Drosophila melanogaster: one gene and its partners. The protein of the gene in region 1 interacts with the protein of each later gene in a pairwise test. Each region holds a gene or a part of one and is shown in the gene's direction. Other genes may lie near its edges.

Region 1 (6,362 bases):
CTGTCTGCGTAACGTAGAGTGTTGAGCGTATTCTCCACGCAGCTCATGGATGGCGATATCATGGCAATCATGCAGGTCTTGTTCTTCTTGCCGCCGACAAAGGAGTCGCGCAGCACTTGGGTCAACTTGGAGCCACGGAAGGGAAGGTGACTCGACTGCCGGCTGAGGGCTCGAATGCACTCCTTGAGGGCCAGCAGAGATTTATTGATCTCGGCTCCCTCGATGCGAGTTTGACGATCGGCGGATTGCGTATCCGCCCCGCGTTCATTGCCCGCCAAGTCCACAAAGGAGCACTTGCCGTGTGGGCCCCAGGAATCGGGAAAGTGGAGTGCTATTTGAAAGACGGCGTGGGAACGCGATGACTTGGCGTTCGCCGATGTTTGGCCGGAAGTGCGCTCTTTGCTGCCGTGCTCAATCAGTCTCAGGACATCCTCCACTTTGGTCACCGGCATCTCCGTTAGGCCCACCACCACGACCTGCTGCCTGGCATCCTCTAGGACCCGCAGCATGGGCTTGTTGGGTAGCAAGAGATCGAACACCTTGGTGCCATAGATTTCGAAGAAGCTGCACGTAATCTTGGCACCCATTTGCCGGTACTCCGGGCGCGATACCTCCTCGAAGACATCGCGAGCTGCCATGGCGTAGATCCCGGTACCGCAATCCTGAACCTTTCCGAAGAATTCTCCGCCCATGGTGTGCGTTTTTCCGCTGCCAGTTTGTCCGTAAGCGAAACAAGTGGCATTGCCGCCCTCGAACATGGTTCTGATCAACGGACGAGCAGTGTGATCGTAGACCAGCGCATTGGAGCACTCCTCGTCGAACGTGTAGTCGAAACGGAATTTGTGGTGCTCCAGGAACTTGGTGAGATCCACCTTGAGGCGCAACTCATGGACGATCAGGCTGTCGGCACTGGGAACTGTGATGATGTCCAGGTTCTTGGAGTTCTCCTCCTTGCGACTCATGGGTCGTTTTCGCACACACACCGTAATTTGCTGAACAGTGCCTCCATTGGGATCCAGGCATCGAAGTGGAGAAAAGATCAAGGTGGAGCGGTATTGGCGCAGCATCACCGACACCTCCCAGTTGGGATTCCCCGGATTATTGCGACGCAGTGCATCCTTCTCCTGGAGCTGTTCCGCCTGGCGAGCCCTTCGCTTCTCCCTCTGCTCCTTCATGCGATTCACCTCCCTCACTACACTGGAAAAGCGTTGGTTGCTATTGTTGCCACCCTGTGACTTGCGACCTTGGGTGGGGCTGGCATCCCGGTCCGGCCTACCGGCTGGCACACGAGGGGTGTGCGCTCTACCCAGCTCATGATTTCCCGCTCCGACCGCTGCAGGATCCGTCTTTCTGGTGGCAATTTTACTGCGACCGTCCTGTACTCTCATGCGCTCTGCATACGGATTTCCAGTGTGGGTCTTAGGTCCTCCGGTCGGACTCGAGCCTCGAGGCTTCGGCAGCAAGGAGCTCGGTGGCTTCGATATCGGCGGTTGATTCTCCGCGAATATATGATGGTTGATGCCAATCAGCGTGCTCAATGGCACTTCCTTACCCTTCACCACCGTGCCCTCGGTCCATTCGCCCGTGATGGAATCCCGTTCCAGGTTCTTGGCAGTGCAGACCACCTGATGGACACGCCCGTCACTCCTCTGGAAGAGGAGCTGCTCGCCAATTTTGATGCGATCCATGTCTGGTGGCAACGGATTATACAGCTCTCGATTTATAAAAGATGTATTTTTTTTAGGATTTTCAGATTATATATATTTTTCTTGATTTCCAGTTCACAAGCGAATGATGACCAGATGTTGCCTCTGTAATTTATTGTCGAGTGTGAGTTTGAGGGGCTACTGACAATCGTTCAAAATCTAATAACGAACCCTTACCGCCTAGCCTACTCTTCTCTTTTTAATACCTATTTTATAAGGGAGCCTTCTTAAAGTGGAACTACATACATATACATATAGGTGGCTCTTGAACCTTTTCCTTCCGCTCTCAGAACAATTTTATGGTTAACATATTTGGGGTGTTGGCTCGTAAATTCCTTGGGTTAGCAGCTTCTTTTGATATATGGCTCTTGGCTCGTTACGGGTTAGTACTTTTCAAATTAGATTTCGGCTCCCTACCTTTTTCCTCTTTTGTGTGTCATAAAGCGATGGCAGGACCTTTTCGTATTTACACAAGCGTGCACATTCCACAAATAAATAGCTCTCGTTCTGTTGTCTAGACATGTGATTGGAGCACAATTAAAATACATCTGCTTCGTCGAGGCAAACCCTTCGAGGGATCAAAGAACGTGCTGCTCCCAGTCGGTCAGGTGTAAAAACTAATTTACGGCAATGCCAGTCCAGCAGCCCCAAAAACCGCAATCGAAACCCCAAGGTGAACGCTTGTGTTGAGCAGGGGGGCATTCTGCCAACTGCGACTGTGACTGTGACTGTAACTGGGACTTTGACTAGCATGCTTTTCTGGTCCAGTTTTGCTATCAGCTACTGGGTCAGCACGGGCTATATGGACCATAAATCTCATGGCTGCTGCAATCAGGGCCTGCAATCGCAATCTGCATCAGAAATCAGCGAGCAGTGCCAACTTGTCAGGGCCGCATAGATAGCGACCAAACTGGAAACTGGAAATGGCGTCAAGGGCGCCATAAATGAGAATTTCCGTTTCATTTCCGACCGTTTGTTTGCGATTGTGAATGTGAATGGCAGTGTGTATGTGTGTGTGCCAGTGCGGTTCATTTGTGGCCCATAATGAGCTGGCAAAATGTCGTGGCTCTGTATCGATTTTCGTTTAAAGTGCCGGCCAGGACCACCTAATGGCTTTCAGTGTCCCGAATTTATGGCAACTTGACCTCGGCCATTTGTCAGCATTAGAACACAATTGGATAGCATGGCCGTTGCAGTCAAGGGCATCATAAATGGTCGACTGCCAACTGCCAATATGGGTCCTTCCATTGGTCCTTAAGCGAGCTTAAGACCACAGGCATCGATACAATTCAATTAAATACCGCCTTGGAAAATTCAAGCCAGTCTGCAGAATATTTATGCCAACTCGAGGTGGTGGAATAGACACATAAATCTGTTTTCTCCCGACGCGATAAGCGGCAAACATGTTGATGCAAAGGCGAAATAAAATATGTCGCCTAAATTGAGACCAGGATGCAAAGCCCGAAGATTTATGTGGATATAATCGCTGGAGGCCATAAATTATGGCCAGCAGCTAGACGGAAATCTACGAGTCATCGATTTTCCACCGAGATGTCAGTCACAGCAAACACTTTGTTCTACTAAAATATGTTAATACACACTGTACACAAAGTTAACACTAAACATATACACTTAAATTAGGAAGAAGTAGAGCGGTTTATTTTTCAGGATGTTCTCAGGACTTATACCCATGATGCAGCAGACTCGGAGGGCCACGGTTCCACTAGGTGGGGACAGCCGGTAATCATATCTATAAATATGTGTGAACTTTTATTCATCCGTCCTGTTTTTACAGAAGTGGCAACACCGAGTCCCAAATTGGATCCAGTAAATCTTCTAATTGCAGATTGCACCTAATTTCGCGGTAAGTCTACTACATACTGTACACTTTTACACACCTTTTTGCAAAGAATTGAAAACCAATTTCAGAACCGGAAAGCTTCTTCTGGACTACAAGCAATACAAGGCAGCCCGAACTATCCAAAACAACTGGCGGAAATTCTATTTTCGAAAGTATTTCAAGGATCTAAGAAAGGCGGTCATCACGATTCAGCGCTGGTGGCGCGGATTCTCGGTCCGAAAAAACCACTTCAGGTATGTGGAGAACCTGCTGCAGAAGCGGGTTCAGGATCACCACCATCGGGCGGCCACCAAGATCCAGGCCCTATTCCGAGGATGGAAGAGCCGGCGCACCATTCACGATCACAGCAAATTGCTCAGGAAGCAGGTGTGCGCCGCCGAGGATCTGCTCAACTGCGTGGCCTTCAAGCTGCACCACCTGCTCCGCACCTTCGCAATTCCAGGTGTATATTCGCTCAAGAACTCAAAGTGAGTATGCCCATATAAGTGGAAATCAATTTACTGAAATATCGCCACCAACAGCTGCATGTCGCGAGTAGAGAAGCTGCTGGCCAGCTTGCATTTTCGCTTCCACAATGGAAGGGTTAAGACGCAATTGGCTAAAGAACTGGCCGATCGAGGAAAGGATACGGAAACTTTCAAGAGGAGTAACAAGTTCAGCAAAGTCCCATTCGAAGGAGCCCGCTATTGGAGCCAATGCAAGCCAAAGTGCGAGGCCGCCCTGAAAATGTCCAAGAATATTGAAAGGCGCATGTACAGAATCATCGAGATTTACGATGCTTCACAGAGAGAAGCCCATGCGGCGTTGGTCGAAAAGAATAGGGCGTACAGTAAGCTAGCTTCTAAATCTTCTAATATATAGTTTTTGAAAATATATAAATTCATTTCACAGGAAAGCACAAGGGGCTTATGCAGAACATCAAGAAATCGGCGGAGAAGAGTAAACGCGACTTCTGCGGCGATGTCATCGCCAGTATGAGACGCTGGAAAATTCTGGTGGACAACGATTTGACTGTGGACAAGAACATATTCAAAAACCCGCAAAATTTGGAAAGGTTCGTTGCTGAAATATCGCAATATGCAAATGAGTTCGAGAACTGCACCTGCTATTGCCGCATTCCCGTATTCACCGAAATCTATTGCGGCTAAATGTCATTAAAACCAGTAGTCTCGTACCAAGTAGTGAAAATAAATACAATTTTCTAACTAAAGATTTTATTAGTTTTGCTATGGAACCATTGACTGCTCTGCAACAGTTACAAGTATACGGATTAGATCAGTTGAAAATCGCATTAAATATATCGACTGCGGAGAAATTAGTATATTAGATGCATTCCGTATCTAAGTTCGTTTATCTTCTCACCAAATACGTTGCCGAAAAATCGCAGAAGTTCGGTGGCAAACGAGGGTCTTTGATAATCGGTCCAATTATCCGTCATCTGATCTGTTTTGGAATTTATCGAGTAATCATTTAGGTGTTAATCCTTGTTGGCTTCGGGCTATTTCTCACCTAAATGCTCGCAATCTAGCCGCTTGTTCAGGTCGAAGCTGTCAGCGCCTCCGAGGGGAGGAGCCACAGTCTCATCGATGTCATTGATACTCGGATCCGCCATGGTGAAGTAGAAATTTCTATGAAAACTCACAATTTGGATTTAAATTTTAATCACACTTCAAAGTGTTTACGGCAGCTTTGATTTGGAGTTGGGGAATGGGTAAGGAGTTCTAAGAGGTAAAGCATGGATTACTTGGTTTTGGGATTAGTTCTCAGAGTAATGTATTATAAGGAATTTCCTTCCCCAGAGTGTTTTTTTTTTTAAATACAGTGATATCAGATGTGCGCATTCAAAGACACAAAACATGCAATTTTCCCTACCAACAGCTGCGAGTTACGAGCCAAGTGTGCGATTTATGCCATAAACTTTTCCGGCCACAACATTTCAGATCCGGATAGAAGGCATGCAAATACGGAATGGAAAACGGAATGTGGGGCGGGATTTTCTCGAAACCTGTCCCTGAACGAGCATAAATTAAGAGGCCAGTTGCCGGTGCTTTTAATTAGACAGTGAAACACGGCTTCGTCTGGCCAATGGCCAGGGGTTCTCTTTCTGGCCAGAACATCAAAACAGGGCTCCGAACAGCAGGAGACTTGGTAATTGTATGGCTGGCCTTCATCATCGCCGGCTCCATAATAATCACCATCCTCAGATATGCAATTAGAGGACAAACGAAAAATGTGTCTTGGTCAGACGCTGTCATCGTCATCGTCGCCCAGGGATAAATACATATTTCCCAGACTCCGCAGCTCCATGTGTATATATACTTATATTATATACAAATGAAATTAACCATATTCATCAGGCCCACAACTAAATGCAACATTTTCGGCCGCTAATGACGAGCGTTGTCGTCGTCTTTGACAGCAACTTGTGTCGCCCTTGGGCCAGGTTCTTTATCACTTGGTTAATTACTTATGGCTCCCACCTCCCCCGATCCTTTGGTTCAGCCCCCGCAATCGTTGGTCCTCTCCGGCGACGAGTTTCGTTTAATTTGCGGTTGACATGACAGCTCCCTTGACTTGTTTCACTGGCTTTGTTAAAATGAATCTCTCAGTCTGGCCAACAGGTACACTTGCAATCATATGGTAATCACATAGTTAAGTTAAGTTAAGTTTTCATGGACAGCTAAGCAGGAAAGTTAGGTCAAATATTTTTAAATATATTAGATAAAATGTATTTCGTAGCCCCCAAACTCACAGTGCAGACTTCGAAATGAGTTCGAAGCTAGAAGCAGAGATAG
Region 2 (5,164 bases), on another chromosome or scaffold:
GTAGCGTCCGAATGGCAGCCACGCAGCTGGGTAGAACAAAGGATAGCTCGGCGGCGGTGCAGAGCCCACAAGTGGTGGTGGCCCCAGTGGTGGTGGGGGAACAGCAGCTCCAGCTGCCTGGCGGGGCGGTGGTGGAGCAGCCCGATGGGCAGGCGGCACATCGATCTCCTCGGCAGCATCCTGGATCTGACCCGCGGCCGCCAGGTGGATCAGAAGGAGGAGCACCACCTGAAATGGCCACCGATGGCGAGGCCTCATCATCTTTGAGCAAGTGCATCGACTTCTCGGCGGATAACCGCTTGAGACTTACTAATTTCCTGTACATAGCTAATCCGAGCTGATAAGATCTGATAGCTCAACGTTCTGAAAACGAAATAAACATGACTGGAGCGACAGAACCCAGCTTTATAAATTTCTGAACCCAACCCGGCAGTTTTTGTGGGTCATTTCCAGACTTGCCGATGGATGGATCAATATCCAGCTACGTTTTAGTATGCAAAACACGGACTCACATTCGATTTGTTTTTCGCTTTTCGTCACGCTTTTAAAAATACCAAACGAAACCAAAAGTGCAAAGCCATAATGCTCAAGATTCTCCTTGGCTGGCTTCAAAATGGACTTGGAACCGATCTGGGAATGGATGTGCATACCAATGGCCACGCATCACCTTCGCTTCAATGTGGGGAATTGGAATGGAATTTTCTCGACCGATTCTGCTATATATACCCGAGTACTCGGGCACTAGGAGATATCAGTCTAGTACTTGAGAACCAACAGTTCACAACCAACCCAAACAGCCAACATGTTCAAATACGTAAGGATCGCAGGATAGCTGGACTTGCCACCAAACAACGGATTACTCATAAGCACTTTTCCTATCCTTTCAGTTCGCTCTGTGCCTGTTCGCCATCGTGGCCTGCGTCTCTGCCAAGCCGGCGGTGCTCGCTTCTCCTCTGGCCTACAGCGCCTACTCCGCTCCCTATGTGGCAGCTGCTCCTTACTCGGCTGCCTACACCGCGGCATACACCGCTCCAGTGGCCGCCGCCTACTCCGCCTACACGTACCCCTATGCGTCCGCCTACTCCGCCTACCCCTATGCCGCCTACTACCGTTAAGACTGGATGAATGGATCGTGATCTTAACCTGACTGCTGAACTGGACCTGAATATAAACATATACACATCTATTGCAACAAGGATACACACCTTCCTGCTAACCACCTGCAACATCCAATCTTCTTACATCCCTGGTGTTAGTTCGACAGACTCTACATTTCCCCACCTCTGCCGACTGCTGAAAGTTAAGTCATGGGAACAGGACATACCACTTCAAGAAAGGGAATATTTTTGTTGAAATAAATACTGCATTTTGCGTAAAACGTATACCACTTGTTCATAATTTATTGCATCACTTATTCATCTCTAATGTGAAGGGAGTATGTATAATCACATACTTTTAGGCAGTACTCTTTTGCAATGGGTACTAAGTACTAAATTTGGTATACATTAAAATCCAATGGAAATATTATTTATAAAGTAGGTGATATCATATTTTCAGTAAATATTTCTCACACTAGTTTCATAAATTGCTAGCCCCTACATTTTTTAATTTTGGTGGGCTGGAAGGAATCAATGACTTTTTTAAGCTTTGTATCAATAAATTGCTTTGATACATTGGAAATTATTTTTTGGACTTAAAACCTATTATTTGTTAAAAAAAAAGGAAGTGTAAAGGAGGTTGTGTTCTTCGTGGTGGAATGTCCATGTTTGCATTGGATTAATAGGGTCAACGAGACCTCCGGTTTATTGAACTCGCGATTCCATTTATGCAAAGCTTTCGATTCCCTGTTTCTGGTGTCCTCAACCTTAAGCCAAGGGCTCAACTCGATGACGTCCTTCGAAACTGGATAAACCGCTTCTATTTTTACTTGCATCTCTGATTAGAATGCAAAGTGGCGTGTTCGAGTGGCTGACAATTGAAACGTACAGAGTGAGCCGAACTCCGGAGATGGCCAAGACGGTTGGAATGACACGCACGTTCACAGCCCACAAAACGCACTGAGTGCTAAATTATGATAATTCAATCGGCAAACGACAGCTGCTGACGCCAGTTGCGGAAATGCTCAAGATGAGCGGGAAAAAACATTCATTTTCAATAATAAATTCACAAGGAATGCGTACTATTCGCAGGCATATCGACAAACACAAATCTGCAACATTATAATTGTGCCAGTAAAAAGAGACCAAATGTTTGGCCCTGTTTTAGCCCTGGTACGTGATGGAAATGCTTTAAACTTGCTGGGTTTTTGCTTTTTCAATGGGCTTTGTCAAGGATGCTATGTATATTTACCTATATAAACCACTTCGAACTCAGCACAAGACATCAATCAGAAGTCTAACTTCGACGCTAACACAACCAAATCAATTAAAATGATGAAATTCGTAAGTTTCCAACATTTTTTTAAGGATACAATGTTTCAAAAATGCAACAATTCACAATCCTAAATACAAACAAAAACGCGTGTGTTCGAAATAAAACTATTATCAAACAGTGTAGATTTTTCAAACAATTTTTTATATTTATAAAACTTCTTGTAAATGTGTATTTTAATGTACTTTTTGTATGCATTTTATCCTGCAGTTTGCCGTTGTCCTGTGCGCCCTGTTCGCCGCCGCTGCTGCCAATCCTGGTCTGCTGGCCTACAATGCCCCTCTGGCCTACTCCACTCCACTGGCGTACAGCTCCCTGCCCGCTGCCGCACCCCTCGCCTACACCGCCGCCTACACCCCTGCCTACGCCCCCTACGTGGCCCCCTATGCCAGTAGCTACAGTGCCCACAGTGTGGCCCACAGCGCCGCCCTGCCAGCCGTTTATGCCGCCGCCCCTGTGGCCACCATCCTCAAGAAGTAAGATGTCCCAGGATGGCAAAGGGATTCCGCAAGGCTGCCGCACGTGTCCACCGGACGTCGTCACTGCCACGGCGAAAGATACAGATACAAACAGAGATGGAGATACATGCTCGCAGGCAAACAGAAATTAAAACGCAATGCATCAGGCCCACGCACTGACCGACTGAGAAGTGAATCGAGTTTTATTCCTTCCGTTTAATTTTAATCTTGCCGTGGGCATCGGGACTTTTCTTCAAAGGAAACAGATAGTGCAGGTTGCTCTTGGGAAGCGCCGTCTTATTGCAATAGATACCTGGATGGGAAGTATATATATATAGCTTTAGTTTGTGGTATTACATAGAATTATAAGTTCAAGATAAGGGATTTCATTTGAATTATTAACGAGTGCTGCAAGCTTTAATTTTTAACATTTGCAATGGTCACCAGAGCACTTTAAACTATTATATGATGAGAAGAATGAATTCGTTTAAGGTTAAATCAGGCCACCATTTTCATTAGACAGCTCCCATATGACAGAGTGCCCTCCAAGGGTGTGCCCAACTCTGGCCTGTTTGTGCGCCCACTTTGGTTCATCGACACTTCGCCACGTTCCAGGACGCAATCCTTGAGCTTTGTTTACGCAGTTCGCACCCCCTTAGCCCTGATACCCCCCTGACCCTTCGAGGTCTATGTGGCCAGCTCGCGGCACATTGTTTATCACTTTGATTGCAAGTTGCGTGTGTGTTGGCTTAGAGGTCAATGCATTTCCATCGCCACTGCGAATATGGTACTACATTGAGGGGCGCCGCTTAAATTGCATTTTGCTAATCACCCGCCATCGATAAGTTGAACGAAGCCACGCCTCAAACGAACCCACCACGCCAACTCTGGCATTAATCATACGCCGCGTGCAACCGTCGAAAAGTATGAAAATCAAATCAAGCGAACGACATTTAACTAAGAAACAACATTTTGCAAATTAATTCAAGTCTTTGAGTTGCTGATTCTCAATTCTCCTCGATGCTTTCAACGCTTTTTATAGCCCTGTAAAAGCTGAAAAACGCCTCATTCTGCACGTGCAGTTGCACTTCTTGCAGCTAATTTACTTGTTTTGTGGCTGTAGTCGGAAAATTAAATTAAAATTTAACGCTGCCTTTTGTCTCGATGGTCACGCCCCATTAATCAGCTGCCCCCTCGCGAAACATGCGGCGATTTATAATTGCCGAAGCCCCAGAAGTTGCACTTAAACGTTCCGTTTCCCAGGCTTTACTGGAGTGGGTACTCTATGAAAGAGTTTGGGGGTGGGGTGTGTAAGCTTAAATTAACATAAGTTAAATATTGTCAAATAGTCTAATTTAATGCTTAAATGTTGTACTTTAGGTAAGTGTGTTTATAAAATTAGTTTCAAATGCTCTCTTGTCGTAGTATTCAGTTAAGGTAAGTCTATACCGTGTCTGAATTGAGGATATCAAAATATTTGTTTTCTAACTTTATAAGTAAGTATAAATATATATGGTTTTTGGATGCAACTCAGTTCTTAATGTATAGCTGTATCGTATCTCTATGTAATCTAGCTAATACTGGACGCTCTTTTCAAATTGAATATGATATCCAACCTACCTCCAATTAGCAGTACGCGTATTAACTTGGCCAACAAGGGGACTTCTAGGCCCATGTGCTATAATTACCCCCCGCTGTTCGGTGACTGCTTAGGCGATTACAACAATCTTGTCTAATTGACAGTTGTACACTGTCATTCGAGAGCATTGGAACGATAATGGGGGGGCTGCGTCGATTAGAACTTGCTGCGATCAATTTGCGGAGACATCAATAAGAAGCCAAACCCGATTTAAAGGCGCTCGCATTTCAGCCGTGCTGCCCAATAAATTGCGTTTTGATTTAATCGCCGTGTTGCACAAGTGCCACAAAATTAATTGCCAGCAATTTTTCGCACCGTGTAGATAGCAGCGCGGCTGCAACGACGCATTGAGCCGGATCTCAGGAGGCACTTAATTGAAATGCTTGGCTAGTTTGATTTACAGCCCAAAAGTGCAAATCGGGTGGAGAACTTCGGCTGGACTGGACTAACATCGCTATTGGAATCGCCCACACGGCGTATACGTATGTGTATGCAAATCCCCTTGGAGTTACGCATTGGAAGCCCGGCTGTTGACCTGCTCCCCCATTTCCCCCCTCCTTGGCCACCTTGTATTGTCAACTGCTTTTTGCCTTTCCATTTGCCCGCGGGCTTTTCTGGACTGAGCTAGGCCTTATCC
Region 3 (5,573 bases), on another chromosome or scaffold:
GCAAGCGCAACAACAGCTAAAACAAAATAGCCATAGAAGTTGTTGTCCAAGCACACACACGAGGCGTATGAGTAATTTAATCATGTTTCATGCTGTCCTGGCCAAGTGAAGTCGGTCCAGAGCGCTGCGTTTGTTGACACCCACAAAATGCAATTTGCGCCACAAAAGCAAACAAAGAAAATCTTAGAAAATGGGGGAAAATACGAGGCGGCAAGCAAAAGTCAAACAAAGTTATATTCCAGATTGGATTTTAAGTTTTCGGATTAGTTGCAGCCTGGCAGATGCTTTTAGCATAATAAGAGCGAAAGAAACAAAACAGGGGAATGCGTATGTTTACCAAGTTGTAAAATTCTTTACTCCTTAAAATTGAATAAAACAAAAAATATCTGCATCCTCAGTTTATTTTCCATTTGAATTGTTTATTAAGCTCTTTAATATACTTAAAGATATAACTTTAATAATAAATCGGGATAAGGGACTTAAAAATGTTGTATGTAGTTTAAAGAGTAAATGACTATTGGGTTTGCTTGTAGTATAGATCGAGGACGTAGTCAATAAATTTACTTTTACTTTCGATTTAAAGACGCTTTTCCTGTGGCTTTTACTTGTTGTACTCCCAGTCGTCACCTTGTCACTTCACCTCGGGGCAACATTCTGCTATTGACTTGCATATTTGCGTTTCCACTCCAGTTTAATCCACCCACCTCCGCCATCCACCTCACCTGGTCTGAAAACCACTCCACGCACGTGCCATCAAAGTGAAATAGAAACAAACAGGAGAGGCAATGGGATGCCAAGGATCCCAGGGATCCCAAGGAGCCAGGTTTGTTCTACGCTTTTTCCTTTGCCGTCTGGCTTAAGTACATTGTTTGCCCAGGCGCTGACTCTGGGTATATATAGACCATACAATGCCCAAGGTGAAAAGCGGGCTGATATCCATAAACAAGGACCTCTAGAAGTCGGACTTCATGTTGGCCCCCGATGAAAAGCGACAGCTGCAACGCACAAGATTGAAACCGGAAACAAAAAGGCAATTCAATCCGGCATTCATTTCTCACAAATGCCTCCGTTCATTGTGGGCCACAACTGATTGCAACCGGTGGCTATAATTCATTCACATAGATGCACTTGCTACTGAGCTCCGTCCCGGATTCCCATACTGAAAACGCTTTGGCATAGACAAATCTGCGACTCGAATTGCAACCCGCGGTTATTGAATGGCATTACTTTGCAACTGGTCGACTGGGCTCCATATTTGCGATATCCAGCTGCTGGACGTCCGTCTGCCAATTGGATTCCAAAGGCATCCATTGTGTGGTCATTGGCCAGACCCAGCCTTTATATGCTTAATTGAAACGTCGCATGTCAGTATCAGATTGGTATTCCGTGCATCCATGCGTCAATCATCTATTACTTCTCCATTAATCATTGTATTGAGTTGGGTTTCAATATTACAACGTAGTAGAGACGTAAAATAAATGTAAGTTTTATTTGTACAACTGTTCCAAATATCTAATTTTCCAACTGATCTAGCTGAATACAAGAAATTCATCTGCATTCTCCATTCAAAATAATACGAATACTACTTACCCGAGCGAATATACGTAATACTATATGAAGTTGTGGTTCCAAAACTGGCATAAAGGGATTTGCACATGAAAACCCTTTGCATGTGTGTCCTGTCCCACTACAGAAATGCAAATTATCCAAATCCCCCAAAGGTCTGTTGCCATTTCGATTGCGGCTCGGCTGTTGCTATATCGTCCTGTTTATGCCTGATTAAAGTCAAACAACAAACATATTCTGAGCTGCATTTACCAGACAATCGTATAAACATATACACATGTGGTCATCAGAATAGAATTTATTAGTTGGGAGATCTACAAATCTGCCAATTATTTTAAGCAAATTGTTTTTACTCTCCTTTAACGCAAACAACTTTTATTTATTTAGTTAGTAGCCCTAATTAATATATTACCTGCTAAGTAATACTTGGAACTATTGTTTTCCATACAAATATATAATCCCGCATCTCTGGCCCGAAAAGTCCTCTCTAATCTATGCAGAGAAATGCTTGACAGTGCCTTGTTGTGTGGCTCAACTTTGGCCCCAATCCTAAATCCTTTGTGTCCTTCGTGGCCAGGATTTGCTTCTCATTACCAAGAAGCCCCCATTGTTCGCTCCACTGGGAGGAGCACGTGTGAGAAAGGTTGATGGCCAGGGACATGGGTTTGTGCAGTTTGGTTCTCGCCTTCTCCGCTCCCAAATTATGCAAATTGCTCGAAATTTTGCATTGGATAATTTCCCTATTTGCCCGTAATGCTCAATAAAAAAAAAAAAAATACAAACACAAAAAACATTTTATGACCCAAGAGACCAACGATGGCAGCAAATGGCTGAGCAGAAAAAATACTGAACAGTTGTATAAATGCACCAACAAAAATAAAAATAATATAAAAACAGAACAAACTGCGACGCATTTAATTAAAAATGTAATTACCCATGCTTTTCAACAGCCACATTGCTCGAAGCGGTAGCCAGAGGCTATGAAAACATTATTCGGAAAATTGTTGCAAATTTAATTGTTAAATCCTGCTATATTTTACTGCGGTGTTACTGCATCACGGAGCAGTTGTAGTTTTTTCCATTTCACAAATTTATCTTACTGAAAATGAGTTTAAGAACCATGTCAGAAAAGAGCGTGGGGCAACTAACAAAAAAAAAATTTTAAAAAACTAACTAGTAATCTTTTGTTGTCAATGCCTTGAATTTTCCACAATTTCAGTCTAAATGGAAAACTGTCAATGAAAAGACAATATTTAAACACAACTATTTTCGAAAAACTAAATTTTAAAATTCATCTTTTCGGGAAATCCAAATTTTAGCCCAAGGTATACTTACAATTTGCCATGGATGACTTTGATTTCAGTAGTCCACCTCCGGAGGTACGAACAGTTCATACCCACACGCTGAATGATGAACAGCTCAAGGATTGTGAGGCGGCCTTCGCCCTCTTCGACGACGATAATGCCAAGGTCATTCCGATCAAGTTATTGAGAGATTGCCTGCGAGCCGTGGCCCACAACCCGCCGGAAAACGAGATACAGGATTATATAACCGAAATTGATACGGATGGATCCGGCGAGCTTTATCTCAGTGATTTCCTATACATCATGTCGAAACGGTACGAGAATTTGACCGTCGAAGATGAAGTTATCCTCGCTTTCAAAGTCTTCGACAAAGATGGATCTGGCTTTATACACGAGAATGAGTTCCGTCAGATAATGACTGAATATGGCGATGAAATGGAAGAGGACGAGATCGAGGAAATGATACGTGATGCCGACGCCAACACGGAACTGAAAATCGACTACGTTCGCTTTGTGACCATGATGATGGAGACGTAACACTCTCTTTGAAAAATAAAAAACATAACCGATTGTAGATCTAATCAATAAATTTCAAAAGCATGGCCAATGGAATCGAAGATCTTGAAATATCGGATACCACCAGTTTGGACTATTCTTTAAAAAAAAAAAAAAGCCAATATACAATAGATAAAATGATAACAAGAGTAGGCTTTTCTTGTTATTAAATTATAAATATGAAGTTGTGAACTAAAGTTTGTCGAAAATTTGTAGTGAGTGTTCAGTGACCCCAAAATTTTCCCACCCCCAACCCCTTCCTTTGGCCATGGATTTCGAATTCCTTACTCCGCCGCCAGAGGAACGGACCATTCGCACCCACAATCTGACCGAAGAACAGGTCAAGGATTTGGAGATTGCCTTTTCCCTGTTTGACGACCAAGACACTAAGGTTATTCCTATAACAAATCTCAGGCAACTAATGCTGTCTGTGGCCCACTATCCCAGTGATATGGAATTGCAGGAAATTCAGGCCGAGATCGATGCTGATGGATCCGGTGAGTTATATCTCAGCGATTTCCTTCACATCATGTCTCAGAGGTACGCAAACATGTCTACCGAGGATGAAATTATAGCTGCATTCAGAGTCTTTGACAAAGAAGGAACCGGCTTAATATCTGAATCGGAATTTCGTCACATAATGCAGAACATGGGGGAGCAATTGACGGATGATGAGGTGGAGGAGATCATCCGTGATGCAAATTCTGATTTGGAAGGCAATATAGACTATGTGCGATTTGTCAGAATGATGTCCACTACATAAGGAAAAAGCAGGCTTTAGGGGTTGGGAACCCGACCTGTCAGTATCAGTATCATCAAAACAGTTTCGGCTCATTCCCTTTCGTAAATTCCAACAGTCTATAGCTCTGCAAGCATTTAAAAATATCTCGATAAATACCGAAAATCTTTGAAAATTTATCAAGATGTCCGAACTAACGGAGGAGCAGATTGCCGAGTTCAAGGATGCCTTTGTCCAGTTCGACAAGGAGGGAACCGGCAAGATCGCCACCCGTGAGCTGGGCACATTGATGCGCACCTTGGGCCAGAATCCAACGGAGGCCGAGTTGCAAGATTTGATAGCTGAGGCCGAGAACAACAACAATGGCCAACTGAACTTCACTGAGTTCTGCGGTATAATGGCCAAGCAAATGCGGGAAACTGACACTGAGGAGGAAATGCGTGAGGCATTCAAGATTTTTGATCGTGATGGCGATGGCTTTATATCACCAGCTGAGCTTCGCTTTGTGATGATCAATCTGGGCGAAAAGGTCACCGACGAGGAGATCGATGAGATGATTCGCGAGGCTGATTTTGATGGGGATGGCATGATCAACTACGAGGAATTCGTATGGATGATAAGCCAGAAGTAGTACAGCTACTTTAAATGAAATAAAAATATTTGGGGTCACTGCATAAAAAAAATCGTGTATTTCTCTTCAAAAAATACAATTTACACTTCTCTGCGGTCTAACTATTTTCGAACACTTTTTAATACGCCCCCAATTATTTCAATTATATTTTTGCGGTGTGCTAGTTTTTCCTTTGCCTAATTCGGAGACCGAGAATTTTTCAAGCATGTCCTGCTCTTAAAAATGTTTGATGAAGGCACCCCATTTCGGTAATTGTGGTTGGTTTAAGGAATTTTCGCCTCGCCTTCTTCAGGTGAAAACTTTCAGCATGAAACACTCGACGTGGTTTTAGTCCGCCTTTTCGTTTCCCTGGCAAGTGGTTTTTGCTTCCACATGCGGCACCTTTGTGGCCAGACGAACAATTTTCCTGTTGCTTAAATTCAATTTGCTTATGCATTAAAATTAAATTTTACTGTGGCCTCAGCGGGCCCGGCTCGTACTCCTTGCTGGAAGCAACCTCTTGGGGTCTTTGGGGCTTGTGTCTGACTTTATAAATATTTCGTGTGTGTTGTGTACGCGCATGTATGAATTTTCAATTTTTTGAACAAGTTTCGGTTTCAGTTCAGACATGTCAAAATGTCAACTTGCTTAATTGAGAGTCCGCAAAACATCGAGCATCGCATCGCATTGCATCGCATTGCATCGAATCGAATCGAATCGAGACCTTAACTTCAATGTGCATTCGCATGGAATAAGAACAAAAGCCCAAGCAGATTCCAATTTCAGATCTGACATCAAT

The links. Proteins that work in one complex are often made in the same cells at the same time.
Region 2: the proteins of CG13544 (region 1) and CG13066 interact in a two-hybrid assay, tested with the Drosophila melanogaster proteins (one large-scale study listed by BioGRID).
Region 3: the proteins of CG13544 (region 1) and CG5024 interact in a two-hybrid assay, tested with the Drosophila melanogaster proteins (one large-scale study listed by BioGRID).

The regions. Positions count from the first base shown.
Region 1 is NT_033778.4:23,137,492-23,143,853, reverse strand, and holds CG13544 (uncharacterized protein), read left to right. Parts: upstream 1-3,276; 5' UTR 3,277-3,375; coding exon 3,376-3,446; intron 3,447-3,501; coding exon 3,502-3,570; intron 3,571-3,635; coding exon 3,636-4,034; intron 4,035-4,088; coding exon 4,089-4,396; intron 4,397-4,458; coding exon 4,459-4,715; 3' UTR 4,716-4,774; downstream 4,775-6,362. Other genes in the region: Klp59D (Kinesin-like protein at 59D), read right to left, coding at 1-1,688; CG30192 (uncharacterized protein), read right to left, coding at 4,843-4,871, 4,930-5,010, 5,077-5,179.
Region 2 is NT_037436.4:16,270,538-16,275,701, forward strand, and holds CG13066 (uncharacterized protein), read left to right. Parts: upstream 1-2,371; 5' UTR 2,372-2,429; coding exon 2,430-2,441; intron 2,442-2,640; coding exon 2,641-2,910; 3' UTR 2,911-3,071; downstream 3,072-5,164. Other genes in the region: CG34248 (uncharacterized protein), read right to left, coding at 1-261; CG13067 (uncharacterized protein), read left to right, coding at 803-814, 888-1,115.
Region 3 is NT_033777.3:25,808,296-25,813,868, forward strand, and holds CG5024 (uncharacterized protein), read left to right. Parts: upstream 1-2,800; 5' UTR 2,801-2,909; coding exon 2,910-3,407; 3' UTR 3,408-3,480; downstream 3,481-5,573. Other genes in the region: CG17770 (uncharacterized protein), read left to right, coding at 3,694-4,188; Acam (androcam), read left to right, coding at 4,349-4,795.